Linked DNA regions of Oreochromis niloticus. The protein of the gene in region 4 interacts with the protein of the main gene of each other region in a pairwise test. Links are inferred from orthologs where the notes say so. Each region holds a gene or a part of one and is shown on either strand. Other genes may lie near its edges.

Region 1 (7,844 bases), on a different chromosome or scaffold from region 4:
CTAACATGACAAGTTAGCTTTGTTCATCCTACATGAGGCAACGTAATGTGTCACTGCAGTACCTCTGCCTCTGCTTCTGTTTCCAGTAAAAACTAATCAGTGATTAACGGCTTAATTAATCATTCTTTGTCATTTGTCAAAGGCAAGAAAATTCTGTGAAGCTCCCAACTTTTGCGCAATAACTAGAGCTGAAGTAAAACACCGTGAACTATAACATTGTTTTGTAATTTGTCATATTATAATGATGATTCAGGCAGCTGCTAAAGAAGGCTGCCAGCTAGACAGCACGACCTGCCCGCCACAGCGAGCAATACACAACAACTGTACACAACATCAATATTTATTGATGTTGTGTACAGAATTATTACCTCCTGGATGTCTACTTTTTGGCACCCAGTCCCCAACCGGTTGTGGCAGATGGCTGCCCCTCCTTTAGTCATGAGGCTTCTTCCTGTTAAAAGGAAGTTTTTCCTTCTCCCTGTTGCCAAGTGCTTGCTCACACAGGTCGTCTGATTGTTGGGGTTTGCTCTCTAATATTGTAGAGTCTTTACCTTACAATCTAAAGCCCCTTGAGCTGACTGTTCTTTGATTTTGTGCTATATAAATGCAACTGTATAGATGTGAATTGAAATTAATTGATGTTTTAAGAAAGTGAAAACAGACTTCATTTCACTTCTTCTTTCTGTCTAGGGGAAACAGTGGCATCAGCACCTCGCTCTATCCAAAAGCTACCGCTCACACAAACAGGGAACTGATGGTACCGCAGGCTCCTCAGCAACTACTTAGTCTTCAAAAATCTAGGAACTATGGCAACCTAGTGTTTGGATACTGCTAACAACAGCTAAAGACAAAAGGGGAACATGAACATGACCATGCATGTGGACTACAAAGTCACTGCTGACAATAACTTCAGTGCACATCCAAATGACACACAGGCAGTCGTCTCAGATTGTCTGGAGGCAGCTTCAGATAATTATTATTTTATCAGCCTCATCCTCTCCAGCCTCTACACCATATTCCTGTTTCCTGTCGGTCTCGTTGGGAATATCCTTATTATAGTGGTCAACCTTAACCATAGGGGCCGCATGACACCTCCAGATCGCTACTTTGTGAATTTGGCCATGGCCGACCTCTTTCTGGTAGCTGACTCTCTGATTGAAGTGTTCAATCTTAAGAAGGGCTACTACGACAAGGCTGGCCTCTGTACTTTCATGAACCTCTTCCAACAGGCCAACATGTACAGCAGCGTCTTCTTTCTGACCTGGATGAGCCTCGACCGCTTCGTCGCACTGACCAACTCCATCGGTCGCAGCATACCACGCGCACGCCTCAGCTGCTGCCTCATCTGGACGTCTTCGTCCCTGCTCACCTTGCTGCCTTTCGCTGTAGCTCAAGTGCAACACGCCGGAGAGCTCCATTTCTGCTTCGCCAACGTGACTCAGATTCAGTGGCTGGAGGTGATGCTGGGATTCTTGCTGCCCTTCTGCATCCTGGGTGTGTGCTACTGGAGGATAGCACGGGTGCTCAAGTGCAGCCACTGGGAGCTAAACAGCCCCCTGCAGAGGCCTCGCAGGCAGAAAGCCCTGCGACTCATCTCAGCTGCTGTGGTCGTCTTCTTCCTCTGCTGGTTGCCAGAGAACATGTTTACAAGTGTGCACCTCGTGAGGGGCGACACGAACGGGGGCACGCTGTGGCAGGATTACCCCTTGACGGGCCACGCCGTCAGGCTGGCGGCTTTCTCCAACAGCTGCCTGAATCCTCTCATCTACGGCTTTCTCGGGGAGGCCTTTAGGAAAAAGCTGAGGCTTTTTCTCCAGGATAAAAGCCGATGGTCCAAGCTGAACAGGACCCCCTCGAGAAAGCCCATAAACGAACCAGCAGCAAAGGATGACAGTACGAGCAACTCATCACATTCAAACTGTGACATCCCCTTGCCAACTGATGCACCCACCTTGAATAAACTGTATATACATGTTCTCACCAATCACACATGAAAAACACACATGCTGTGGGGTAAAGGCGCTATTCAGTGCTAAATATCAAAGCAAGGATCCTAACTTCTGTACAGATCTGACTGTTTTTTATGTAAAATTGAGACACATCAGTGTTATTTAAATGAATGATGCTAGCATAAAAGTCTCTCTGGACTGAATGACAGCATGTCACTGTGCCAAAAAATTTTAATTTATTAACTGTCAATTCATTAGCTGTGTTATTACATGTTTGCCACGCTGCTCTATGCTTTACCATGATTATGTCACAAAAAAAGATTTTTTTCACAGTAAAACACTGTAAACTAGCTGACTACCTACAAAGAGCCAAATAAAATCTTTAAGTCACATTTTCGGCAGTGAACATTCTCACCTCTGCTTGCTCTGCGGCTTGGTTCACTTGTTCCTTTTTACTCTTCTTGTTCTTTTTCCGTTTTTTATCATCTGTTGTGTTTGTTAACTGAGACATCTGAGCAGGAGCCTCCTGGTTTAAAGGCAAAGTGTTAATGATACTGTGACTGATTTCAGGTAGTGCTGTAAAATACCATTTTCTGTGCTACTCACATCTGCATCCATCTTTTTCCTCTTCGTATTTACTTCAGTGTCCATTATTTCTGTACTGTCATCTGATGGACCCAGATTCTTCCTCTTATAAGGTTTTGATTTCAACGATTTGTCCTTAGCCATGAGATAAATTACTCCTGCAAACCAACACGAGCATGTATATAACTGAAGACCAGCACACACGTTTACTGAATGAAGTACACGGACAGACAAGGCTTAAGGTCAAAAGAAACAAATTATCAATTTTATGACATAACAACAAGCAGCAGTATTAAGGGTTAAACACTACTTTGACCACGTTGTTTTTACAAAAAACCTTAAACCAACCTGAGTTGCGTTGCGTGCCAGACTCTGGAAAGCACACATGCGCGTGGAAAGTCAACCAGGAAGCGGTGCCGCTCAAGTGAAGCCTGATTGGACGATTAGCTACCCGTGTTTTGTGATTGGTCGGTGGGTGTAACACTTTTAAAAACTCGAAGAACAAACTACTGAAAGAAAACTCAAAATATTAAATGAAGTGGGAACCCGAAGACTATTTAAAATTAATAAATTATAAATAAATACATAAACAAAAGCCATAATAAAACAAACAAATTAATTAACCAATAAAAAAGGAAAAAAAATATTATAAATAAGGCAATACGCTGTACCTCAAAAATACTTAAAAAAAATAAAAATAAAATGCAGACTGGTGGTACGGTGTAAAATCAAAGTACTTTTACTTTCAAGCGTAAATATGCCATTATCTTTAGGTATAGTCATACTACTACTAATAATAATAACAGAATAATAAATTATTCTGTGGGTTAGAGACAGCCGGTCATAACCAGCGTCTCTCGCTGGTTCTGGCCGGAGAGAATTAAGGGTTGCACAATGGTGTGTTACATGACCTGACTGAAAAGGTTTTGCTCGGCAAAGCTTCAGTTTCGTAGTGTTGAGTAAGATGACCGGTTGTCCATCATGTCTACAGCAGCAGTCTTTGCCCGTCTGACACGAGTGGCTTTGAGTCGAGGAACATTTATTCATAGCGGTGCAGCTACCGTGAGGTGAGTGTGTGTATGTGTGTCCCCGGCTCATGGAAAGCATGTATTCAATGTGTAAGGGTTGTTCAATGACAGTGTAGTATCTTTAATTGTTGGTCAGATTCTTAAGTGGTTTATTAAGAAAAAAAAGAAAGCTGACCCAGCGGCGTTGGTTAGATGTTACCACATTTACAGTTATAGAAAATGAAACATTACAGGGTTTTTTTCTTTTCTTATTTTTTCCTAGAAGACACACCTTGGTCCTTTGACTTTAATCTAGTTACTAGGCTTTGGATGGATATCAGGAGTTTTCTTTTTATGAGGACGTATGACAGTGAGTAAAGTACAGTCACCGTCCGTGTGTTGCCGTTGTGTCAGAGGTTAGATTTATCATTTTCAATAGAGCAGCTTCAGGAATTGTCTCTAGGTGGCATCATCACTGTGTTTTGAGCAACAATTTACAGATGGACACACAGTTATTTAAAGGCTAATTCAAAGGTAAAGTGTTTTATACATAAACTCATTTTTTGCTTTGGAATAATTCAGAAATTTTATTTTCTAGTGCTTTATTTTTTTATGTAAGGAGCTATCTACCACTGGAACTTATGATCATCTGTATGGTTGATCTTGAACATCAGTTTCTATAAAACATCTATTGCATATTATGTGCGTCTATGGTTTTTTGACCACTGGAAATGGATCATAAATCCAGTGTATAAGTGAAAATGATGATTGCATTAATGTTTTTAGTGGCCATTAAGGACTATAATCTCCAGCTGTGGATGCTTCTTAAAAACAAAACAACAGTTTTAAAAAAGTTTCATAAATGTTTCATAAATATATTTCACTTCTACTCTTAAGCGAAAGTCCACAAGTATTAATATCCAAGTAAATATTGTAGTATACTATCTAAGATGAAGTAGCATTTAAGTGCACTAAGTGTACTTTCAAACCACTAAGTCTTTCAGCCTAAACTAATTTATCTTCTCCTGTTTTTCGTGCTGGAAGACTCCACAGTGTGCGGTCTCTAGCGCTGAGCTCTCAGCTGTCGGGCAAGTCCAAACAATCTGCTGATGATGAGGAGGTGAAGAGCGAGCCCATTAAGTTCTCAACCAGCAAAGCCAGCCACAGGACCTGGAGAGTTGACCGCTCGATGGGGAGCCAGTACGAGCGTCCTCTGTGGAAAGTTGTGCCCATCAGCCTGCTTGCCACCGCCTTCCTGTTGTGGTGCGCTTTCAGGGATGAGACAGACATTGATGCAGCTCTGGAGAAGCAGCTGTACGAGCATGTACCCAGCGTGCTTTCAAATGAAGAGGATACAGCTAAAAAATAAAGGTGCTTATCGGAATATGTGGACATGTCGTATCAGGTTGTATTTATTGTGAATTGTACTGTGTTGACCTGGAACACAAAGTTAATGCTCTGTGTGGAAATAAGGCCGTCCATTGATACATGAATGTCACAAATATTCCAATAACTACAGGTTAGTTCAAACCTGGTCTGGTCTACTCTACAGCTGTTGCAGGCTTTTCTATTTCACATTTCTCTGCAGACTGTATCCAGTTTCAAAATACTGTTCACTTTGGGGTTTTACTTGTGATGCTTGATGTAGGTTATTACATCATGCTGTACATCATGAGTTTAAGAGCTAACGTTAATTGGGACATGCTCCTTTTTTTTAAGCAGTTTTTGGCAGTAATGGATTACAATGTCAATAAACTTGACCAACAAGCATCTGCCAGTCTGTTCTGAATCACTGTTTCAAAGTGCACATGATCACTTGATGAACATCCAACTTGTTAGAACAAAGTTATAGTGCAAAGAAGCCCTTGCATTGATCCAATGGGTCTCCCGACTTTGTATTTGTACCCAAGGTTGTCTGCAGCAAACTCAAGTCAGGGTGAGGTAGCGGAAAGTTTATTTACAGCACAATGAGAAATCCTATGACATGCACACACAGGATTAAAAAGATACAGACCCTAAAATACATTTGCAGACCTGAGGAAGGAAGTGAGATATTCTGCTTTAGAATTTACAGATATGAAGCACTACTCTACAGTGAACAGGACAGCTGAAGGAAGAGTGTGTGAAATGAAGTACAAAATCATGCCTGAAACTACAAATGACATAAGGTGGCACACATGCTGGTAAATAGTTCAAGATTTACAAAACAAACCCCAGTCAGTCCCCCACCCACCCCCAACCCAATAAAAAGATAAAAATCCAGAAGCATTTATGCTCGCTCTCCTCTAATTCGCCTGGCCAGCTGAATGTCCTTGGGCATGATGGTGACCCTCTTTGCGTGAATGGCGCACAGGTTGGTGTCCTCAAACAGGCCGACCAAGTAGGCCTCGCTGGCTTCCTATAGGGAAGAGAAAAGAAAACATTACATACTAGAACAAATTAACAAGAACATGTTATTCATATTTTAAAACAGATGCATTTTCTGACCTGGAGAGCACCAATGGCTGCGCTCTGGAAACGCAGATCCGTCTTGAAGTCTTGAGCGATTTCCCTGACCAGACGCTGGAAAGGCAGCTTCCTGATGAGCAGCTCAGTGGACTTCTGGTACCGACGGATCTCACGCAGAGCAACAGTACCGGGCCTATGAAGCAAGCCATATTCTGAATTAGTGCCCAGAAACAAAAACACTGTAACAACTACACAGTTTCAGAAAACAAGAGTAAAGTTAGTTTCCACAGCCAGTGTAACCAGTTATGCCTATACAAACAATACAGGGGCATGATTGTTGTACCTGTATCTGTGGGGTTTCTTCACTCCACCAGTAGAGGGCGCGCTTTTCCTGGCTGCTTTGGTGGCCAGCTGCTTCCTAGGCGCCTTTCCTCCTGTGGATTTACGAGCGGTCTGCTTTGTACGAGCCATTTCTCACTTATAAGTCTGAAAAATAAATAAAAGTGGACGTTAAAACAAACTGAATTTTAAAAAAAAAACTTCACAAAAACTCGTAATTTACGTTAACCACCCACTGAACGAGAGCCTATTCCCTTTATGCGGCTCTACCTATGACACATGACTCACGTCGTTTTAAAAAAAAATAGGTGGCGAAACAACCGTCCTACCTTTTACTTCTGTTTACAGTAAAAAGAAAACACTACCATAAAGGGCGCCAACCCCTCATTCATCGGTGATACCATTATCAAGGACGACAAGTTACAACAGTTACCACTTTTATGGTTTTATTCAAATATCATACACAAACCTCTAAGCACCGCCACCATTAAGCTACAGGAGACACACACGTTTCTTTGCTTGTCTGTCGAGCATTTTTAAAGCTAGCATGGACGGTTGCAAAATGGCGCCAGCTAGTTACCGCGAAGATTTACACTAAAATTAACCAATTAATATCACCAAAAACAACACGGCACTCAGTCGTATAAGTGAACATTAACATTAGTTTATAATTATGTAGTCATACCCTAAGAGCAGTCAAATCGGCTCAATTTAAGCCATCAGCTAGCTCTTAGCTACAGAGCGCGCCGTTTTGTTGTCAGTTTTTCAAAGCTTCTCATTAACACCAAAACTCAAAAAGATAATATATCCAATTCACATACTGACGATTTTAAATAAAACCCATAAACAAACATAACAGCCATACCTTGGATCACTTTCGTTGTTCGGGGAAATTCAATGACTCCTCCTTGTTAGTCACTTCGCTATGTTGCCCTGAGGGCTGAGGAGGTGGTATTTATAGATTAAGCGGAGCAGCGCTCGAAGCCCGCCCCTGAACGTATCCAATTGGTCCAAACTGAAATCCCTAACGGAATATGATTAGTTCAGGAAAAAGGAGGCTCTCTGCCTCTGCGTGTGAAGTTAGAGCGGATCGTCAGATGTACCTTATTTTAAAAAGAAGCATGTCGTTATTTTGATTTTAATTATTCACCCGCAGCTTTTCTCTCTTATTCCACACAGTTATACATATAATTTTGTCTGTGTAATCTTAGAACCTGGGAATTCCTTTCTGAAAACATGGTGGTCACTGACCGCCCCCCTCTTTTAACTAATTAAGACAAGCGGGAACAATGCTGCCATACTTATGCTGTAGCCTGTACTATGTGAAAAGGCAAATGAAGTACACAGAAGACATTCTGAAAAAGCATATGTGCACCTCACAAATCGACATACACGCTCCATACATAAACCTCTTCATATATAAATGGGAAGCTTTAGTGTGATACATAATTCTGGAGCTGACAGAAACTCGATGGATGAAGCATTGTCCAACAGACCTAGGACACATTTCCTCGAA
Region 2 (7,046 bases), on a different chromosome or scaffold from region 4:
GACGTGGGCGACCTCGCCAATGAACACGGGGGACAGGAACTCTGTCTTCTCCACCCGAACCAGAGCTGCCAAGCAGCGGTCCTATACAAGACAAACAGCAGACTCAAAACGTATACACACAAAATCACAACATTTGACTGCAATGGCAGGAATCTGGAAATTGCTCTGCTGGAAGATCAGAGGGAAATTCTGGTTTTAAATCCTGAGTCGCTGAGTTGATTCCCCCAGTTACATGACTGTACACTGAGAGATAAAAATAATACCACTGAGCACGGTTGTATAGTCCAAATGAGGTTAATGATGTGTACAACTACAGATGTCACTGTCTGTGAGGCACTGTTGCCTTGCAGCAAGAAGGTCCTAGATTCAAATCCAGGCTGGGATTGTGTGTTCTCCCCAGTGTCTGCATGGATTCACTCTGGGTGCTCTGGCTTCCTCCCAGAAAGACATGCACAGGGTTTAGATTAATTAGAGATTTTAAACTGGTTTTAGGTGTGAATGTGAATGGTTGTCTGTCTCTTTATGTCAGCCCCGTGAATGGCAGGCTATGTCCTACCCCAGCACAATGAATAAGTGGAAGAAAATAAAGAAAATAAATGGATGGATGGATGGATGGATGGATGGAAACTTCACTAATTTGATGAATGAATATGTTTTTAATGCTGGTATAACTGCAAGTTAGACAGAAATAACTCCCTTTTGACATTTTTTTATTTTCTTTATTGTGTTTTTAATGACTTTTTCACATTTTTTCACATTTTAAAACTTGAGTTCTAAAAGTAATGGTTATCATTTCTTAGTTTCTTGCATTAGTTTCTGTCAATTTACACTTATAGTACAGAAAATTTCAACATTGTTATTCACAACATATTTTAGTCTCTTAATTCAGGTGCTAAAAAAGAAACAGTACTGCAGTAATGTATATTATTTTGGGATTGCTCTGTTCTGAGGGACTATTGGAGAGAAATACACAACGCTCTACAGTACATTTTCCAATGTGAAATACCCCTTGAGAGTAAGACTATGTTTTTTGGACACGTACCTCAGGAATGGCCGAAAAGCGATAAACATTTAGTAAATATTTTGCTGGTGGCCTGTAAAAAGGGTATTACCAGAAAATGGCTATCATCGGAGAGCCCAACTATAAATCTATGGATGGACATCACAATGGACATTTATAAAATGGAAAAGATAACAGCTTTTGTTAATCATAAATTGGATAAATTTACATTATATTGGGAAAAATGGGTCAAATATGTCACGCCTCATAGGCCAGATTTTACTTTCACAAACCAGTAGTTATGAAGTATGAGAGTATGTAAGAGTAAGATCACTCCCTATCAGTACATATTTATTTTTATTTTTTTTCCTCTTCTTTTTTTTTTTTTATTTTTTATTTTTTTTTCTCTGTCTGTTTCTTTCAATTATTGTTATGGTTGTAAGTTTTTTTTTTGTTTGTTTGTTTGTTTGCTTGTTTTGTTTTTTTTTCTTTTTCTTTTTTCTTCTTATAAACAGGATATGAACTAAAATATTATTTCGGCAATAAGGGCAGACAACAGATGCAAGAAGTATCCCCATGTGATGTATATGTTATGAAGGTCTGTTTCTAAATGTCTATTGAAAAATAAAAAATTATAAAAAAAAAAAAAAAAAAAAAAAAAAAAAGTAATGTATATTATATATTGACACCTCTCTGCCACTAAAAATGAACATTAGCGGAACTTATTGAGAACTTCCTTGAGTTCAGTTATCCAACAGTACAATAACACAGTCCAGAATGACAGTGGCTGTTGTCTCTTACCCCGTTCTGTGTGTTGCAGTGCCGCGTGCTGACAATGCATCCAGCTTCCTCTATCATCCTGAGGATGTTGCCACCGTGGACGTTGCCCACAATGTTGGCATCATCTGGTCGCATAATCCTGCAATAATAAATGAATGCATTACTATGATTCAATTCAATTGTATTTACACAGCGCCCAATCCCAACAACAGGCGCCTCAAGGCTCTTTATATGACCCATGACTGTAGGTCTGATGACACATTCAAATGTGTCATTATCTTTTTATTACATACCACCAACTGTATTATAAGCTTCCTGAATAGTGTTATCAAGCAGTCCACACAGTATGTTTTCCTTCTTGTTTTTCAGTTTAAGTCACCTTAAGGTTAAGTACCTATTAACCACTAGTTTTCTGAAACTTTGTCCAAAAAAACGCAAAGACAAAAATGAGAAACTTTTTTTTTAAATGCCAGAAAGTCACTCATGTGCTGCATGTTTGCACATAACAAGCTGATAATGCAGCTCTCCATGTCTCCACACTGCATCACTACTTCAAGACAGTATCATTATCGCTGACAGTGCATGACGTGGCTCCACTTCTTCAGTGTACGGATAAACGAGTCGTACCAGTTATACCTGGTGTAATCACTTTACGCACTGTTAATCCAAAATGTACAAATGTCAAACCACAATAATGCAGTGCACCACTGCACTGACTAATTCTGTGACACACATGGTTAAGGGTTTGATTTTGTGTGTGTGTGTGTGTGTGTGTGTGTGTGTGTGTGTGTGTGTGTGTGTGTGTAGAACAAAAAGCGAGATAATAACTTCCCATAAAACTCAAAAATTCTCAGTTTTCTATTTACTAGATTTCACAAAACTCCTCACCATATGTAGGAAATGACTAAGAACCAATACAAAATGACTGAAACAGACTGTGTGTTTGTGTGTGTGTGTGTGTGTGTGTGTGTGTGTGTGTGTACGCATAAGCAACCAAGTACCTGCTAAGCTGATTTTTGGGACACTTCCAAGCTCCAGTCTTCTCACCCTCCCTGACATCTTTGCTTACTTGCTTACTTTGACTATGTTGCTGTTTCTCCACCACTGCAGTCGTCTTATCGACTTCATCTGAAGCCTGACTCTGCTGAGCCCTAGAGCAATCCATCGCTAAACACGGTCTGGCTCTCAGTCTTCCTCTCTCACCTACTTCCCCTGTGTATGAGCTCTAAGATCCCAGCTTTGGAGATTTTGAGATCTGACGTTGATGGTCTGAGTGATGTCATGGAGTATTACCGCTCACACCACATTAACTGGTCAAACTGGATCTCAGCAGTTGATACAAAGACAGACAGGAGTTATCTAATAAAATATGTCATCATCACACTGAGGTTTGAGTCATGCAGCTGACAGAGTTTGACAGTGACAAATCTGCCAAGATGTCCTGAGACACATGTGAAGCACCAGATGGATGAAACTTGTCTCAGATGCTTAATTCATGAGAATGTTTCTCCACTTTTCTATAGTAAAGACTAAATTTAGAAATTTAGGAAACAAACTGAAGATACCTGGCCAAGATTACAACCACCCCAGTACCAACTAATACAGTTTAATATGTTCAACAGAATAGCAGGCTTAAAAAAGTAAAATAAAGAAAGGCGAGTCCACGAACCTTTCAAATCACACTTACGCACCTCCAAATCAGGATGTAGTTGATTAATCACTTGTTTACTCATGTAAATCAACCAACATATCTATAATACACAGATTATATACACAGGTGAGTAAACATTAAAACTGACGTTGTTTCTGGTTAGAAGCAGCACCACTGGACTAACCATACAAACAATATATAGATGACAACTAAATGAAAATGCAAAATATTGCTGTTAATGGGTGCCTAAGACAAAATCTTCTGCCTGTTGAAACAAACTCTTATTTATTTATTTCATTTTACCTGCATCGAGAACAATGATAGCTGAAATGCCGAATTAGCTTCACAAACTGGAGTCTCAGTGTCATTTCTCTCCCAGCCGTCCACAGAACAAGATCACAGCACATGTGTGAAAGTGATTTTGCATCCAAGTGTTTAACTGCAAGCATACTTACATTACCACGTAAGACAGGCATTTGCCAAACACACTCACACCTCCATCCACACATACATATCGCTGTATGTATAAACAGTAAGGGCCATATTGTCAAAGGATGTTGTCTTACCACTCGGTGTTCTCCTATTCCGTAGTCCCAAAATAAATTGTTTATATTTTTTAGCTTTTCACAAAGCTGCTGTAAGAAGCTTCTAGAGAGGAACAAGCTAAACTCTGAGCAAACAGTTGGAAAAAATATACCTTCCTAGTGTTTTGCAGAAAAGCAATGTGAAGTTCTTAATAGTGCCAAAATGAAAACAGACCAATAGTCAAAACATATTGGATATGCGGCCAAATGCAAGTCAACAATATAAAGAGCATATTGCTTCCAAATGCACTCTAAAACTAATCATGAGGGCGCTTGGATGGATCCTGTTTAGCTTCTTATTGCAGCGAAGAAATCACAAGGAGCGCATCTTTGATAAAAAGTCAGTAAAGCTGACTTAAAGAAGAACAAGATGACTAACTTCCTGTAAATGCACACACACCCACTTTTAACTGTTCAATGACGGTAAAGATCATTGTGCAAAGACAGAATATCCAATGGATCAGTCAGGGTAACTCCTCAGGAACCTAAATGACTAACAAAAAGAGCCGTCCTCTGGACTATACTGGGTGTTTACAGTCATAGTGTTGTGGTAAAGTGGCAAAGTGGACATGTTATTAAAAAAATTTTATGCAGTACACATTTTCCTTATGAATTGAACTTTAGCTCTGGAAATATTTATTCAGTCATTTTACACTCCATTGATTAAAATAGGCACCTTTTCTGAAAAGCTTTTATGGCAGAGGGCCATGCTGGGACGTTCACATAATAAACTTGCACTTCCTGGCCTTGCTCCCTGTCATTTGTGCACAATGTTCACGAACCTGTTGACATCAACTCTGTAAGAATTTGTTTTTGAGCACATAGAGGTGTTTGCCAGTGCAGCAACAAGAGGAAGGAGAGAAGAGAGCAGAATGAGTATACCACGAGGATTTTGGGTTTAAGCTGGGCTCTCAGTGACTTTTCCACACACACGGCCCAAAAGGTGACGTTCTGGTGATTGAATAGTTTGTTTTTGTGCTTTTGTAAAGGACTGAAACACTTTCAGCACTTATATGTTGAAAATATGCACTCATACTGAATTATGTGATTTATCTAGAAGCTGGTGCACTGAAGCATGATGAAGATGATGTATTCGATAAGTGAGTGCACCTTTTATACAGTGAATCATCCAGTCAGTCTGTGACGACCTGTGGTTGGTGGGATTCTTTTCTTTGCTCTTTGCTTTTAGAAATTGCATGGTTTTCATGTTAGTTTAGCAAGGCTAAATCTGTTTTGGGCTTGTGGTAGCATAATTGAAGTAGATAGTGTGAGTTTATAGCATAAGCTTAAATAAATATGTTCACTGGCCCAACCTGTGACTGCCGCCTTTGTTTTCTGTGATCATTAAAGATATTCCCATAATCTTTGATGATCACTGTATTATTATCACTGTAAACATTACATTTTTTATGTTTACAGAAAAGAAGTTCATATCCAATAGAACTACTAGCTTCTTACTGCAACATCCCAGTAAGTGGAAACTTACTCCTACATGGCCAGTCACGTTTCAGTCACCTAAAGGTTTCAACACATCACTCATGCAAAGCCAGAAATACTTGATATCCTCCACGGGGGGGGGGGTGGATCAGACCCAATGTTTACAGAAACTTTTGAAGTTATGACTCACTATTACTAATACTGGCTGGCTTCCGGGACTCTTCCGAAGACCTTGGTAAACTTCTCAGAAACTGAACACTGAGCAGTGAAAAATGAGAAAAGAGATTATAAAACTTAGATAAACGTAAAAAGAAAAATGAACATGGCCCTATAATTGTCATAGTGACTTATATAAGTATAATATGTTGCTGTTTTAGAATAATTTAAATCTTTTTTTGATTGTGCGTTATTGGTGTTTTTGTCGTCTGTTCTTCTGTTTTTACTTGAGAGAATGTTTTATTTTCCTTTTTTTTCTTTTCTTTAAATGTAGGCATATATTTCTAACAGAACAGGGGTGTGCAAGAGAAGTTTGGCTCCATCTACGGGCGAGCGCAAGTACTACCACATATTCTCTGGAAAATTACGCGCCGTTGAAAGGTATTTTAATAGCTCGCAGTCGTGCCCTTATTATCACAGATGGCTGTTTGCTTTCTGGGCTCTACATCTGTTCATCATCTGAGGAAATAAATAAAGGGGCAAAGTGCGGACTGATTAAACTAATGTCCAGACAAATTGAGTCACGCGATAAACTTTCACGCGATAAAGTATTTTCTTTTCTTGGAGTTTGGGTTAAATGGTTCCGACTGTAGTGGCCTTCGTCCTTGGCCGTGTTTCGCCTGTCCTGACGGAGCTAACCGCGCTGAGGTCATCACTTGCGAAACGCGGCAGAGATGGTCCGCACCTCTGACGAAGCTCGCACACTAAACATCCTGAAAAAAACGGCGTCTCGTGTTTTATACAACAGCACACGACAAACATCTTGAACCAGCGGCTGAACTCGGGCGATGGCGTCTGCGCAAAAATATAAAAAGAAGCAGAAGCAGATTATCTGGGTTATCGTCCTGTCAGCAGCTCTCACGCAACTACGCCGGTAGCCGCGTTGTTCTCGTCATTTGGCGACCAGCAGCACGTTATTAGCATGTGTGTGAAGGTAGCACTCGTGTAAATGTGTCTTATTAAACGTCCTACCTGCATATCTGAAGTGGGGATGCTGCCTCGCCCGTCTGCGGTGCCGACATGGTTCTGATGCTGATGAGCTCTCGGAGGCTGTCGGTCTCGTGTTGCAGTGAGATTCGTGTGTGATGTGAAGGGAAATCACTCTCCCGGCGTCCGCCGGCTGCTGTGGTCACAGTGTCTTTGCGAAATGGCTCGATGAGAGGAAATGTGCAGAGCTCATAGAAATTACCTGCTAAATGTTTTGCAAAATCTGTTCTTTCAAATTGCCCTAAAATAATAAACTATTATATTATCGATATAATGAGCTAGAGAAGATCCTTTGCATTCCATAGCTTCCTAAATAGGTAAATGAGAAAGGCATGTTTGAGAAACAGAAACCTCAGCTATTTCAATACCTATAATCAGCCAGAGGAGGGCA
Region 3 (7,752 bases), on a different chromosome or scaffold from region 4:
ACACAAAAAAACCCAAAACAAAAGTATGTAAATTTTTATTAATTCAGTAATTTAGACCAACTTTGGGGGGGATAGTGGATAAAGCAAAACAAAATATAATCCAAGAATACCAGACTGATAAACCCGTTGGTGAGTTTAAGGGCTTATTCGAGTGCTTCACACATTTCAGAGTGGTTTACTATGATTACAACATTTTATAACCATGCTTAGTCAGGAATAGTCCTTCCAGCTCTTCATTTGAAAACTAAAAATATTACATCCATGGCAGATTACTGTGTCAACACAGATTTTAAATAAATGAATAATGGACAAATATTCCAGTGACACAGCTACAAATACAACATCTTTTCTGCTCTACAAGTTTTAAGCTATTGTCACAGTGCATTTAATATTTTCACTTAAGAAGAAAAAAAAAGCTACACTCACTGGTAGCCTGATGGGAAAAGGAGGTTGTTTATATTGCATAGAATCATTAATTTATCAGCATGTTTATCAAACAAACCTCTCAAGGCTGCATGGTTCTCTATACTTGTCCTGCTTAATACAACCATATTTGAAAGGGCACTGCATTAGAACACCTTAATAATGAGTTAAACTCCATTTTTCTCAAAACCCTGGCATTTAAAGTTTGTACGAAGAAATTTCTCTCCCAGCAGTGACTGAACATAATTAAGAAAACAACATTTTTAGTTGATGGATTAAAAAAAAGTCCTGGAATGATTGGTCAATCAATTAAGAGGTAGAAAATAAAATCAGCTTTAATATGTGTAGGCAGAGGCTTGACACTACTGTAGTCTGCAGTACCTTGATGTTGCAAGCCACGGCTTTTCCATCATCTCCTTTCAGCATCAGCTTCATGCTGCGCAGAGTGTCCATGGCTTTTGTGAAGCCACAGTATTCCTGATACTGGACATACCCTTCAAAGTTCAGATGGCCCCCAAAGCTGAATGTGCTGAAGTTCTTGCCCATCATTTCCTCCCTATATGGGTCCAGCATGGGAATGTCAACATTTCGTACCTTAAAAAAAAAACAAAAACAAAAAAATACTAATGTTTTAACTTTTTATATCGACATTTATTAGTTTCTTGTTTAGTTAGGCACTGCTTATGTCTATTTTTTTTTTTTTTTTAAATTGTGAACTAAAAATGTGAATATTAAAAGCTTAATTTCCTTTTAGCTACACAGAAACATGAATGTGAATCACCTTGCCGAATGTCTGGAAAACTGCAATGAGGACTTCTTCTGAGGGCCGATCTGGGTACTGGCTGTCCTTCTGACTGAACCAGCGGCAAGGAAGCCCTTCTAGGTGGATGGTGTCAGGCCTCTCACCTGGTAGTGTCTCATTCATGTCCTTGGCATCACGGAAAAAAGAATCCCAGTCGTGACGTGTCGGGAAGTCCACTTTATTTTCTACTGCACGAACCTAAAGGATGAGAGGGTGAAATAAATATACTCTGCTGTCGGTTTATTAGTGCAATTTAATTCAACCTGTAATCAATCTTTGGTAGATAATAATATAATACTTAGAACTAGCTGCCTTGCCTTTGGATAGTTGTTTATTTTCAAGGTAATTTCTTTGAACTGCCAAATTACAATGTATTGACAAAGAGTTACAAACAGTTTAAGTACATTTAAGTAGCAACAACAAACTCCAGTGACTCCAATAACCATGCAATTACTAATTATAAGTACTGCAATGCTCTAAATTTGTTCACCCTTACCTTCAGTACATCAGTAAAGCCACTGAGTTTGATGCTCTTCCCATCCAAACGACTTAGCAGGCTCTTGACTACAGTCTTGTTTTCCACTTCACCTTCAAAGCGGATGAAATCCATTGTGCTCTTGGAGATTCGCAAGACTGAAAACTGCTCCGGGGCCACCATGGCCTTCACCCGCTCCATTACCTCCCAGTTGGAGATGCTTTTGCCTGGCAGCTTGAGCTGGGGCAAAGCCACGCTGATGGTCATTTTGGCAATAGGCTTCAGGTACAGGTTGTACTCAGCAGAGAGGCACACTGCCTCTGTGGTATCATGTACAATGGTGGTCATTGCTGCAGAGAGACACCGAAGCTGCAGCAGGGGGAAGAAAATAAAGATTTAGTAGTTATTAAACTCTCTTAAAACACAGATAAAACATGAATAAGGAGCAAACTCAAAGTAATAAACTAAACTGCGCATGTGCTACGAGTAGTCCTCCAAAACCAATAATCAAACTGCAGCAAACATCGGCTCAAACACAGGCCTCATGCCAAACGATTAAAAACCATTCTCAACATTATAAAACCCATTATAATTAGCCTTCGCATTTGGCTTGTTATACAGTAGTGTGACAAGTCCTCGAAAATTACACAACAAATGCCATGTTAAAGCATAAAGCCCCTTGCGCCATCACAACTTCATACTGCTACCCAGCTAACCAGCTCCTGTGCATTAACGTTCAGTTAACAGAGAGCATATAGGGTGACACAACGACAACAGTTTGTAGGAATAATAATGAACGGTGTCAGGACTACGCTACATATTTCTGGGGAACGGTGTTCACTGGTTACACAAACGTTAGCAAACTCAATGTAACATTAGCTGAAAGCTAACGCTAAAGTCTTCGCTTCATCCCGAAGGACGACAGGCTAGAAAGCTATGAAATTGAGTAAACAGCGATCTGGTTAACGTGATTAATTTAACGCTATTAAACTGCAAACTGCGTATTATTATTTGTTTACTGATTATTTGTTAACGTTACGGTTTTTACGAGTTGGGTCCTAAAACGTCACCGCTTTAGACAACAACATGCTAACGTCAGCTAGCACAGAAGATAACAGACTAGCCACAACCTACCAAAATCACTTAGCCCCCCCGTAAAAACCGAAAATGCAAAACACAACAAACACACTGTTGTAATTTAAGGTGAGCCATACACTTGAGAGGCATACAGAAAATCGAGAATCCAACTACATGCTACTTCCGCACGCAATGAACTCCGACCTTCTAAAGAAACCTATACCAGCGCCCACAGCGACACCACATGGATGAATATGGCGGTGAGAAAAATGGAAAAAGATCTCTTAAGTTGAATTCAGTTTAATATCAATATTCATAGCAATTTTCTTCTTGGGCTGCCTGGTCGCCGGGACAGCGGATCATTTGTCGCCATTGCACACATTTCCTAGCATGTTCTTTTTTTTTCTTTTTTTTTTAATTAGCAAAATCAACATACAACAAAATGCACCATATATTATACAATCAGAAAATACAAATTTCAACCTTTGTACAAAGAAAAAGAAGATATAAAGACGGGGTCATAAAAGTTAACAGAGTATTAACTCACTAAATCAAAATCTTCCAAAAGGGAACCAAAAGATGCAGCCTTTTTCTTTTTAACTAAAGTCAAAGATTTAACCAACAGGTTTAGATCGTTTTTCCAGTGAAGTAGGGTTGGTTTGGTCGACATTTATGTATATATTGCTTGCACAAGATTAATAAAACATTAACACCATAACTGACTTTCCTTCAGAAACACTCCAAACAATATCACATTTAAGGTAAATGGGGTAATTTGAATCCCACTCGATTGAAGCCAGGCATGAAAATCCAACCAAAAGATTTGTATAAAACTGCACAAAAAAAAATAGATGGTCCAAATCCTACTCTTCTGTTTCACAAAATACACAATTAACAGTTTCTATCTTAAAACTATCACCAAGGAACCTATTTGTTGGGTACATTTTATTTAAAATTTTGAATTGGACTTCTTTCCCTTTAGGAGGGATAGGGAAGGTGATATAATTAGTTCTTATTCTTTCAATTTCTTCCTCTTGGAAATCTTTTAATATGTAATTACGTCTAAGTAAATTTGGAGAATAAAGACTCTTTAATGAAGATCTCAGGAACTTATTATTGTATTTAACATTACAAAACTGAATACCATCTATATATAATTGCCTTAACTTGAGGGAGATGTCAGAATATATTATATCACTTACGACTATGTTTTTAAGTGACAATGGAATGGATTTTATAACCCGATTAAAATTACTTTTAGAACACTGGATATTAAATTTTTGGCCAAAATCGTGATGTCCTGTCCTTCCTCATCTACAAAATGAGCAATTGCCCAAACACCTTTCGATAACCAATCTTGAATAAAAATAGATTTTCTATTCATCAGTATATATCTATTGTTCCAAATTTGGCAGTTATGTAGAGTGAAATTATGTTTAAATATAATTTTCCAATAAAGAAGGAGCTGTTTATGGAATTCAGAGAGTTTAACAGGTAGCTTAGTAATTTCAAAGTCACATTTTAGGAGAAAATCGATACCCCAGTTTGTTAAAGACCTTACTTGGTATAAGAAACCAAGCGGAGTGAGGATTATTTAATTTCAAAACACCATTCATTATATCAAAGTCAATTGGCCTAGCATGTTCTTCTGCTACAACAACCCTTTAATTACATCCAAGAATCTTCTGTCTGGTCTTCCTCTTCTCTTCCTGTATGAAGGAGTATTAGGGCCATGTTAAGAAAAAAATATGGTGTCGGTCATTTTGAGAATAAAGTCAAAATTTCGAGATCAAAGTAAAATAGAATTTTGAGAAAAAAATCAAAATGTGGAGATTACAATTTCAAGACAAACAGCTATAGTTCCTACACCCCCTGAGTTAGTGAATTGGTACTTCTACTCAAGGCTTTTCGTAGAAGGTATAGCAAACCTGGGAGTTTGTCTTCAAACAGCAACCATAATCTCCACCCTTTGGCTTTTGTCTCAAACTAGTATTTCAACTTTTTTCTCAAAATAAAATTTTTGACTTTATTCTCAAAATGATCAGCAATATTTTTTTCTTAATGAGGCCCTCCTGCCTGGGAGCTCCATGTTCAACATCTTTTGTCCAATATGTCCACTCTCCCTCCTCTGCACATGTCTAAGTCAGCCTTGCCTCTCTAACTTTGTGCTCAACCTGAGCGCTCCCTCTGACATGCTCATTTCTAATCCTCTCCATCTTCTCAACAAAAATCTTAACTTCTTCAGCTCTGGCACTTTCGCCTTGGCCTCCTATCTTTTTGTCACCATCTCCAAACTATGCATCATAACAGGTCTCAGTGCCATCTTGTTAAATCTTGCCTTTCATTCTTGCTTCGATCCTTTTATTACAAATCCCCCTGATAGTCACACCACCCACAACAGATACCCAGAACTGTCTGTTGCTTTAGATGGCTGACACCAGGTATTTAAACTTATCTACCATCAGTACCTCTCCTCCTTATATGTTCATGGGGTGCATGGCGGTCTGATGATTAGCACTGTCGGCTCACAGCAAGAAGGGTTTGAATCCAGTCTGGAGCCTTTCTGTGTGGAGTTTGCAGTTCTCACAGAGTATGCATGGTTTCTCTTTGAGTACTCAGCTTCCTTCCACTGAGACCTTTTCTGATGAGGCTTCAGGGAACAGTAGACGGGTCAGATGCATCTGTGAGGTCTTCACTTATGGTTTTTACCGGGCTTACAAATTACTTAAGACTTTTGGTGTAAATAACCAAGTTTTATAGATACATATATATTAGCAGTATTTAAAAAGAGAAAGAACACACACCCTGCTATATATTTCAGAACACACATAATTAATACATGATAGAAACTTTGGCAATAATTGTAATCGCCCTCAATTTCATTATTTATTAGTAAATCACTGATATAGTTTATGCAAAAAAATGTTGATCAGTATCAAAAAAGGGTTCAGGCTGGATTCACTGTACTTTTTTATATCTGCCACAAGACAAACAACACTCTGATGACAGTACAAATTTGTTACTCACTTGATGTCTATTTGGCACTGTTTGTGACTCATTAGGGTTTGTCTGAAAGCCATCATCACTGTGGTAACTGTGTGAGATAAAAATGGACCGGACTTGGATTGGTCCAACAGTGGAGGCCCCAGGCTAAAAAGTTGGCACAGTTTCCCTGAAAGGATGGCAGAGGAATTTGCATAATAGGCATTACTCCCTTCACTGTGCATGTAGGTCAGTTACTGCAGTCAAAAAGGCTCTCTATCCTGTCCCGATCAGCAGTTATTTAATAGACAGCCTGCCTAAGGCAAATCTGGATTCTACATAGCCAAAAAAAAAGCACATCACTTCTGACCACTATAAATCCTTATTTGACTTCTAGATCAGGGAAACCCCAGAGATTACAGAATCATCAAAGGAGCTGACTTGACAGCATTCAGTTTTATATAAGAAGCATATTGTGTGATACATTGTGACTGTTTACATGTAATCCAGCTTTTATATGGTTGGTTTGATCTGGGAAACACGAAGCAGAGAACAGACAGGGTGCCAGAAGGACATCAGAGCAACAAGAGGATTGCCAGATCTGTAGTAATCTGTTCAGGCTCAGGCACTGAGAAATGTATCGTAACCCCCACACACATATGAAAGCTTGTGGGCATTAAATTTCTCTGTACCCTATACTCTGTTTACTTTCTCTAACCAATGGCAAAAATAACATAACAGGGAAACACAAAACTGCTTGTCCTCTTAGGTTCTTTTAAGTATATTAAGATAAACAACATAAAATCTGATTTTAAAGTATTTGCAAAAATGGATTAAATAGAGTTTATATCCCAACAGCAGCAATGTTGACTTTTGGTCAGTCTGTATAACAAGAGGTGCAAAATAAGAACTGGATGTTAATCTGTCTGGTGGGCTATGTGGGCAGGAAGTTGTGGATATACTGTAAATGCCAGAGCAAAGCTGGGGTCGTCAGATCATCAATTATTCAGCATCAACAGGCAAGGACAATCAGCTGGTGTCAGCAGGAACAGCGGATGAAGCGACTCGCTTCAATTGTATTTTTAATCTATTCTGGTGACATTAACATGAGTATTCACAGCTGCTCTTTACATTTTAAACCTTCTCATTATTACCAAGGCCGTTTCTTTATACAATCTTTCTCTTGCATCAATGGGACAATACAGTGTAGTCGACAGACTTAAAAACTTTAGTTTATGTAAATAAAAACAAAACTTCTTTATTTCACATTTATGGATAAAGACATTAATCCAAAAACAAAAGTGGCTCGTTAACAGTGATTTCACACCACACAATCACTTCACAGCATTTTACAATGAAAACAGATTTTCTTTATACAGACATAAGAATCAACAGTGTGCTGCATTTCCATTTCCTCTACTCATGCCGCTGAGAAAATGACATAAAATTCTACATCAAAAGTGTCAAGACATACAATGACACGAATCCCCGTGATAAAAGTACAAATGCTACAAATTAGTAACAGAACATTCATGAAATTCGGGAGGAAGAAAGGTTCACATATTTGGGAAACCACTTGAGAAATCACTGCTAAACCTACGGCACATTCTGGCCAGAGTCCTTAGAGAAAACAGAGCTTGATGAATAGATGACAGCGTGCATGCAAGGTCAGACTAATATATGGGAACAATATTGACTTTGTCTCAGTTTCATATGATGTAGTTGTTTCCGGCGGATATCTGTGACTGTGGTTGCCTGAACCTTTACCCTTATGAACCAATGAATCCTGTGTCACATTTTTAGAGTAAATATAGAAATGAAATGTCAGATAACACAGTAAAACTCCGCAACTGACATTCAGAGAGCAATATCTAAATATCAGTGTCTGAACATTTGCATACACGCCACACACAAAGCAATGTAGAAACAAGTGAATTAGCTTCAGAAAATTTGAGGTACGTTATCGGCAGTAGAAAAATGTATATAAAGTATG
Region 4 (7,316 bases):
GAAGCACAAAGAGCCAAAGAAGCTGCTCGTATGGCTTCAGTTTATTGCAAATCAACAGTAACAAGCAGTGTTTTTGCATCTCAAGAAAACACTGAAAAATGTAAAGCTTTTGCAGCAAATGTACTTTAATCAGCCTTTAAGTAAAAAACAAAACTCTGAAAACAAAACAGAGAAGCTTAAGTGAGTTCATTTCATACTGTCAAATTTTATTTCCATATTAAACAGCAGACTGTTTAATGGGGATCTATCCTGCACATTTCCAGCATCGTGTTTTTAATTCATAAACTCTCAGAGCAGCTTTGCATGAGTCACAGTTCAAAATAATCTCTCTTTTTTTGATACCGGGTTTTCAGTTCATCCTGTCTGAAACGAGGCGTTTTAGCCTCTCTGAGTTTGAGCAGTCTTTCTTTCTGATTAGCTGGGTATTGGCTTCTGTGCCCAACATGACCATAGCAGGATATCATCTATGACACCATACAAATCAAAGAGTAGAAAAAAAGTGTTTATTTTCCTGATGAATTTGTCAATTTTTTCTCATAAATTTACCATTTCTTACTCTTATAAATTTGTTATTTCTTCTCAGGTTTACCAGCTTTTTTTCTCTTTAATTTGCAAAACTCAAAGCCTAAAGGCTCAGATCGATTCTTCTAACGATCTACCTCAGATGCCTCCGAACATCATGGTTCATAACGGCCTCGGCTCTCACCTTTGAGCTTCGACACCGTGGGCTCTTCAGATGAAAACTGCTCAGTTGTGGCTGCAGACCCAGCTCTCCTCACTGGGATGATCCTCCTAGAGAAATTCAGCTCAGTGTAAAACAGAAGCTGTTGTTTGCTCCGGCAGGGCACAACGAAATCAGTCAAGAAAATCCAGAGATGACGATCACACCTCAGCTTATGTGGTAACACCTCGTATATGTGACAGAACATAAAAAGCAGGAAGAACAGTTCTCTTTAAAGGAATAGTTCAACAGTTTTCTTTTTTTATTTTTTTGGGAGAGGGGGCATAACTGTGCTTTGTTTTCCTCACAGTGACAAGAACCATCAGTCTGTGTGCGTCAAGTATGAAGAGCTGTTGGCTCTTGAAACCAAACCGAAAGCTTTAAGAAGTCATTTAAGTGCAGCCCGAGCTCTAGAAAACAAAACGAAAAATAGAAAGATATGTGAATATTTGCGTCCTTCAGCTCAGCAGCAGATGAAACTTCTCCACTCCGCCTCACTCGATGCCTTTCAAACTGTGGTAGATGTGTTTCGGCAAAATCACGTATCCCTCACTGAAGCCCGGCTCCGGCGCCGACTGACGGGGCATCCTGGGTGATGCCTCCCGGGCGGCCTTCAGCCTCTTGAGCTGCCTCTCCTGCCGCCGACACTTCTGCTGCGTCGTCTTCAGCTTCTTCCTCAGATGTTCCACCTGCTCCTCCAGCAGCTCAATGCGCCTCTTCTGCTGCGCAGAGTCCTCTACCGTGTAGTTGTGGTCGCAGGAGACCGCCGTCGTCGTTGTGGTCGTTGTCATCGTGTCGCTGCAGGTGTCGAGCGGGTTACTCTCAGGCTCCTCCTCCTCCGCTGGTTCAGAGGTCAGAGGCAGAGAAAGCGGGAAGAGGTTCTCAGAGGGGAAGGGATCCTCCAGGGACTCTGACTGCTAGAGAGAAAAACACGAGTTAACTAGTCGCTAACTGACTGAAGCTGAAGTTAACCTGATCTACTTATCTAGCTTAGTTAACCTATCTGCTTAATTTGAGCTGTCTCTCAGATCTGTGCTCTTATTTTGAAATAAAGAAAACGTGACTGGAAACTCTTGGGAGACTCCTGGAAAAAAAAAGCCCTGCCTTAGTCAGGTCACCTTGATGCTGAGGTTGAAGGTGAACAGCGACGGCACAGCGCTCTCCTTCAGCACACGGTTGTTGCACTCCCTCTTGAAGGAGTCTTCGGTGAAGTGCTGGGAGCAGATGTTGCTGTACTTTGTTGGCTTGAAGTTGTTTCTCCTCATCGCAGCCACCCATTTACAGCAGATATCTGGACGCGCCAGAGGAAACCTGGTAAACAAGTGATAATAATACACAGAAGTAAATGTCATAACGGTTCTGTATGATTTGGGAATTATTTTCTGTTATCAGTTTTAATGTAATTAATTAGTTTAAGTTGCTTATGAAGTAAACTTTATGTCTTTGGTAAAAAATAAAACTAAAACAAACAAAACAAAAAAACCTGGAGCGTTAACCCTTTGTGTTACTTGTTTTGAGACTAAAGTTGGGGACTAAAGAAATGCGCATCAACTCCCGCCAGTAAGCATAAACACATTAATCCAAACTCCAGTTAAATTTGGAGGAATTTACTGTCCCCTTATTTACGGAAAGGCAAACATATTTAAGAATGTAACTCCAAGACTTTATAAGTAAATGTGTTCCGTGCTGATAGATTCGGCTTGTTAAAAAGCGAAACAGCTGTAAAGTTTTAGTAATATCTAAATTTGTGTGCCTCGGTATAGCCACTATAGAGAAACTTGTGACTTTAGACTTGATCAAAACATTTGATTTAATCAAATAAAAATAGCATCTGTTTACTTTTATGTAGCCGGATTTTAGCAGTGAAACCTGGAAACACGTAAAATGTCCCGTGTCCTACTCCACATGTTTCGTACTGTTGAGGAAGAGCAGTTAATCTTTAATGAGGCAGATTAGTGAACGCAGGCTGGTGGACGTTGCTCAACCACCATGTCAGGACTGCTAATGCTACCCAGCTCGCTGACACACACACAGACACACTGGCACTTAACTTACTTGTGGAATGAAATGTCTTTGTCTTTGTGGTAGCGGTTCTTACAGCCGTACGCTGAGCACGTCTGAACCATGGCTGAATATCCGGACAACACTCACTCACAGCCGGACCAGAACTCCACGAAGCTCCGCTTGTGCTTCTTGTCACCCTCCACACAAGCTTCACTGCCACTAACAATGATGGCGGCGAAGAATTAGTCACCTGACCGGCATCCCCGCCTCTAATTGGTGGAGCTTTCTGTCGTTACTTTCTTGTAATATCTCAGGAAGTCCAGTCTGTTATTTTTTTTTTTACGAGCCTTAATTTAAATACCAAATGTAAAATTTCAATCAAATCAAGTCTATTTTATTTAACTAACACATTTTGAAATAAAAGCTGACACAAAGTGCTAATCTCAATTATTTTCTGTTGAGTATAGAGTAAATGTGAAGGACTATAAAACATTAGAAAAGCACAATTTAAATACATTTTACCAAATTAAATATCAATTTTGTATTATAATTTTTCATTATTATTTTAACTGCTGTAACAAAAGAATTTCACAAATACAGGATAATGCATTTGTCCTCTTTCATTTATTATTCCAGAAATTACCATAAGACGTAATGTTTTATTTCATAGCTCAGCCCTGTAGATTCATGCATAATGTGTTAGATAAATAAAGACTTTCAACACATAATCTCTTAGTCAAAAAAGAAGAAACTTTATTATTAAAACAGGTGTTTTCAACACCGTGGGTTGGTCTAAAGAGCTTTATACAGCAACAAAAGACCAGGAATACACAGAAAACAGGTAAATACACAGCACTGATAAGTACCTATAATGTGTGTGTATTATCACTACACTGTATATCATACTGTGTCCTTATCTTGAAAGAAAAAAAGAGTCACAAGGCTCTCAAACAGTCTGTGGGTTCAACTTTAGCAGCTGGAAACTCAACTTAAAAACATTCAGAGTTTCTCACCAACTTTGACAGAGGCTGCTGAGGTTCAGAAACATGATGTGTTTTTTCCTATTATTACGACTGCACGTGAATGCACCTTTACAAACAGGAGAAGCGAGGATTTAAGAAGAAGGATGGAAAGAGAAATTTCTCATCATTTGTCCATTTTTGTTTTAGCACATGCCTGTGGCCTATTAGAAGACTTTACAAAGGAAGAAATAAATAGAAAAATACAAAATAGTTTTGGGATAATTCACCCACATTTCTATGTACAGGAAACCCCCACCAAAAAAAAGGAACCAGGTGGGATCATTTGATTTTTGCAAACAAAATTTACTGATGGAGAAATGTCCACAATCTCAGATCAAACATGGGCAAAAATCACACAAATTTTACTTTATTTTACACAGTTAGACTCTTATTTTGATAGTTCTGTCCATACTTCCTGTCAGTTGTATGAAATTCACTGCCACAGTCATCACGTTTCTTTAAACAATGCACAATCATATCAACAGGTCACCGGAGTGATCCAGTAGCTGTTGGATGACGGGTTAAAATCCTGGACAAGGACCATGTGCTATCTGTCAAAAAGCCCAAACAAGCCTTCTTTAAACAAGGAAACTAAAAATTAAAGGTCACGACTTTTCAACTGTCAGCTCTAAGAGAAATTGTAAGAAAAGAAAGGGGAAAAAAGTATTTTACACAACTTTTTTAATGCACCCCTACCATCATAAGGTGACGCCAAAAGCCTGTTTGATGACTATGACTAAGCACATTTTACTAATTACTTAGTGTTGAATTGTATGGCAAAAAGCTACCATAAAGTTGAGTGTAGCAGTCTTAAAATAGTAAATAAACACCAACAAGTGACCACCGCGAGGTACGGGCAACATGTCATCACAACCAGTCTTGGTCATTTGTTTGGTTTTAAACAGCTGCCACTGAATATCGCATAATACTTCTGATTTAAATGCAGTAAGTTCTGCCAAACTGATAATTGGCAGTTTTGCACACAAACATGATGATAAGCCCAATTGATTTCTGCATCAGAGGATGTATGTGAGATTTATCAAAGAATTCCAGATGTACCAGAAAGTAGCATAAGAACAACCTCATTGACTTCTTAAACCACAATGAGCTCATATATTTGGGCCTTTTAAACACTGGTAATCTAACAAAAACAGAGTGCCAACTTAAACATTCATGATGACACACCAAGTGATGACCCCTGGTAACTCCAGGAAGCCAGTGCTTAAATACCAAAACTGCAGTTCCTCTAATGTCCACTTGAGGATCCAAAAGCAAGTCAGTCTCCCCCAGACTCTCATGTTAAATGTCCAATTTTACAGCAGAAATAAACATGTTTTGCAGCCTGATACAAGAAAACCGTTTCACTCTGTCAAGTTTTTTCAACCTTCATAACAACTGCGCAACCATCACCTTGGCTAATTGGAGCTTTTTTAATGCAGACTTGAGTGGTTAAAAAAAGGGCAACGGGGACTTCTTTAGGTTTCTTTAGACTTTTCATTTTTCATCCAGGAGGCTTTTCCAGTTCAAATTATGAGAAATGGCGTGTGTCATTACCGTCACTGAGGCCAAAAGGTGGCACCTGTCTAAGACAAGTACTGTCAACTACTTTATTTTTAAGCACTCAAGACTACCATGACCTGCACAACTGATACAGGCATTTTTAATGCAGTTACTGACAAATAATTTGGTTTTCTCTGTGATTTATTATGGACAACCACTATACTGCAAGTGTACCAGGAAGTAAGTATAAGGATAGCAACAACGTATTATTATGTCAGCAAAGTGAACTTGCAGGAAAATCTTTCGAAAATCTTGTGTCATTCAACATTCAAAGGTATTTAGCTGACGGTGTAATAACAGAAACATAGAGACGGCTGGAGAGAACAGACGGACAAAACTATCAAAATATGTAAATATTTTTTCAAAAATAAAGCAACAGATTAAAAAGCTGCTGTACAAGAAAAAAAAAATCAATCGGTCTGCGAGGCCTTCACACTTAGAAAAGATCGTCAAACAATGAAACTCAACCTCAGCAAAAAAGAGTGAAAGAAAAAGAAGGAAAGTGCAACAGAAAGTCAGAGTGCTGTCGGTTACTGAATGTCTCTAAATACTCCAATACCCAGAATCCTCCGGGGTCGTGAAATCAGAGTTTTTAGCATATTCACAACACTGCCATCAAGAATTCACTAAAGACTCACAGCAGTGTCTTCTGGGAGATGCAGTCGGCTTCTGAAAGATCACACGCAGTCAGAATGCAACGATTACACTCAGTGATGTGATGTGGAAGCCCCGCCCACTAAGCGGCTCTTCCCTTTTGCAGGAAGGAAAGCAGCTTCTGTGCTCCACATCCAGGAAAGCTTTCGCTCTGGTTTTAGCTTCACCAGCTGATCTGCTGCCACAAATTTCATCAAGCTGAACTCAAGAACTGCTTACTGGCTTTTTGTTGGACTTGCAGGCAGAGCTGTGACTAAAACAACAGGAAATGAGCACATTTTTGTATTTTTTAAGGCTAAAGTAGCAAAACATCTGCCGGTTCAAATATGCAAAATATAACCCAGATGTGTGGCCCACATCTGCCTGTGACTCAGTGGCTGCCCAGGTCCACCATACATGTGCCAGCTGCCAGCTGTGTTGATGACCTCTGGGCCATATGTGGTGATTGCCAAATGCCAGAACTGAGCAACCAGAGGGCCAAACGTGGGCCAGAAAAAAGCTGATTTTTTTTTAGTTAAGAGAGAAAAAAAAAAAAAAAAAAAAAAAATCACATCTTATAAGAAAGCTAATTTCATGCGAGCAAAGTTAATATTGAATATGTACGTTGTTTTTTTTGTTGTTTTTTTTAAATCACGCGTTGCACACACCTCACAGCCAGCTGCATGTAGTGGCCTGTGTTTTACTGCAGGACTCGTTCTAATGAAAATAAGCTCATAATTTGTTATCTGATTGAAAATAAGTGCTGTTTTCTAAAAACACGTATTATGTGTTAATGATGTTTTTATTGTAAATTTGTCATATTTTTTCATGAAGTTCAAAATTTACAACTTTAAGTTTAAAACTTTTTTTTCCTGAATTTTACATCACACAACTAGGGCCTTTCATTTTTTTTCTTTCAATGGCCCGAATACAAACAAAATAAACTTTTCCACAGACAATTCAACACTTGCTCCTTTCACTGGTGGGCTGTGAGTTTCAGATGGACAGCTGCAGGAAGGCTGTGGCTACCACTCCCAGACAAAACCTGTTAGTGTTACAACAACGAACCAAAAAAAGCTAATAAATTATAATAAAGATGTTGCTCTGATCGTAAGTCACTCTGATAGTGCAGGCCACCTGGTTGAATCCATCTTAACCATTATATGGTTTTGCTTGTGATGTCATACAGGGCAGCAGTGCTTGGAGCCTCCAGCTGTTGGCGGATTAACATTGAAACATCTGCAGCATGTAAATAAAACTGAGCGCTCAGCAGATCAGCAAATGTTTATATTTTCAATCTGAAGCAAAAAAGTACCTCACATTGGGGTCAGAGACGCTGTCCACCTCCTCTTTTCTTCTTTTTGTTGCTTGTTACA

What was found.
Region 1: the proteins of thap1 (region 4) and chlsn interact in binary tests that used the Homo sapiens proteins (3 or more experiments, as listed by UniProt). The two-hybrid records come from large-scale screens. The link is inferred for Oreochromis niloticus from reciprocal best matches to the Homo sapiens genes THAP1 and CHLSN.
Region 2: the proteins of thap1 (region 4) and acot7 interact in binary tests that used the Homo sapiens proteins (3 or more experiments, as listed by UniProt). The two-hybrid records come from large-scale screens. The link is inferred for Oreochromis niloticus from reciprocal best matches to the Homo sapiens genes THAP1 and ACOT7.
Region 3: the proteins of thap1 (region 4) and akap17a interact in binary tests that used the Homo sapiens proteins (3 or more experiments, as listed by UniProt). The two-hybrid records come from large-scale screens. The link is inferred for Oreochromis niloticus from reciprocal best matches to the Homo sapiens genes THAP1 and AKAP17A.

The regions. Positions count from the first base shown.
Region 1 is NC_031973.2:19,321,869-19,329,712, reverse strand, and holds the start of chlsn (protein cholesin), read right to left. Parts: upstream 3,007-7,844; 5' UTR 2,883-3,006; intron 2,693-2,882; 5' UTR 2,679-2,692; coding exon 2,556-2,678; intron 2,476-2,555; coding exon 2,365-2,475; intron 2,358-2,364; exon of another isoform or gene 1,995-2,357; coding exon of another isoform or gene 861-1,994; exon of another isoform or gene 691-860; intron 1-690. Other genes in the region: uqcc4 (ubiquinol-cytochrome c reductase complex assembly factor 4), read left to right, coding at 3,516-3,601, 4,586-4,910; h3f3d (H3 histone, family 3D), read right to left, coding at 5,811-5,939, 6,029-6,182, 6,333-6,460; lg8h8orf33 (UPF0488 protein C8orf33 homolog), read left to right, coding at 7,804-7,844. UniProt on the Homo sapiens protein: Hormone secreted from the intestine in response to cholesterol, where it acts to inhibit cholesterol synthesis in the liver and VLDL secretion,leading to a reduction in circulating cholesterol levels. Acts through binding to its receptor, GPR146.
Region 2 is NC_031984.2:24,092,022-24,099,067, forward strand, and holds the start of acot7 (cytosolic acyl coenzyme A thioester hydrolase), read right to left. Parts: upstream 3,016-7,046; 5' UTR 2,946-3,015; coding exon 2,782-2,945; intron 1,920-2,781; coding exon 1,802-1,919; intron 82-1,801; coding exon 1-81. UniProt on the Homo sapiens protein: Catalyzes the hydrolysis of acyl-CoAs into free fatty acids and coenzyme A (CoASH), regulating their respective intracellular levels.
Region 3 is NC_031987.2:12,401,158-12,408,909, reverse strand, and holds the start of akap17a (A-kinase anchor protein 17A), read right to left. Parts: upstream 3,001-7,752; 5' UTR 2,835-3,000; intron 2,070-2,834; 5' UTR 2,049-2,069; coding exon 1,722-2,048; intron 1,582-1,721; coding exon 1,543-1,581; intron 1,424-1,542; coding exon 1,205-1,423; intron 1,018-1,204; coding exon 805-1,017; intron 1-804. UniProt on the Homo sapiens protein: Splice factor regulating alternative splice site selection for certain mRNA precursors. Mediates regulation of pre-mRNA splicing in a PKA-dependent manner.
Region 4 is NC_031972.2:34,363,528-34,370,843, reverse strand, and holds thap1 (THAP domain-containing protein 1), read right to left. Parts: upstream 3,022-7,316; 5' UTR 2,848-3,021; coding exon 2,777-2,847; intron 2,033-2,776; coding exon 1,840-2,032; coding exon of another isoform or gene 1,826-1,839; intron 1,639-1,825; coding exon 1,220-1,638; intron 1,132-1,219; coding exon 1,110-1,131; 3' UTR 186-1,109; downstream 1-185. UniProt on the Homo sapiens protein: DNA-binding transcription regulator that regulates endothelial cell proliferation and G1/S cell-cycle progression.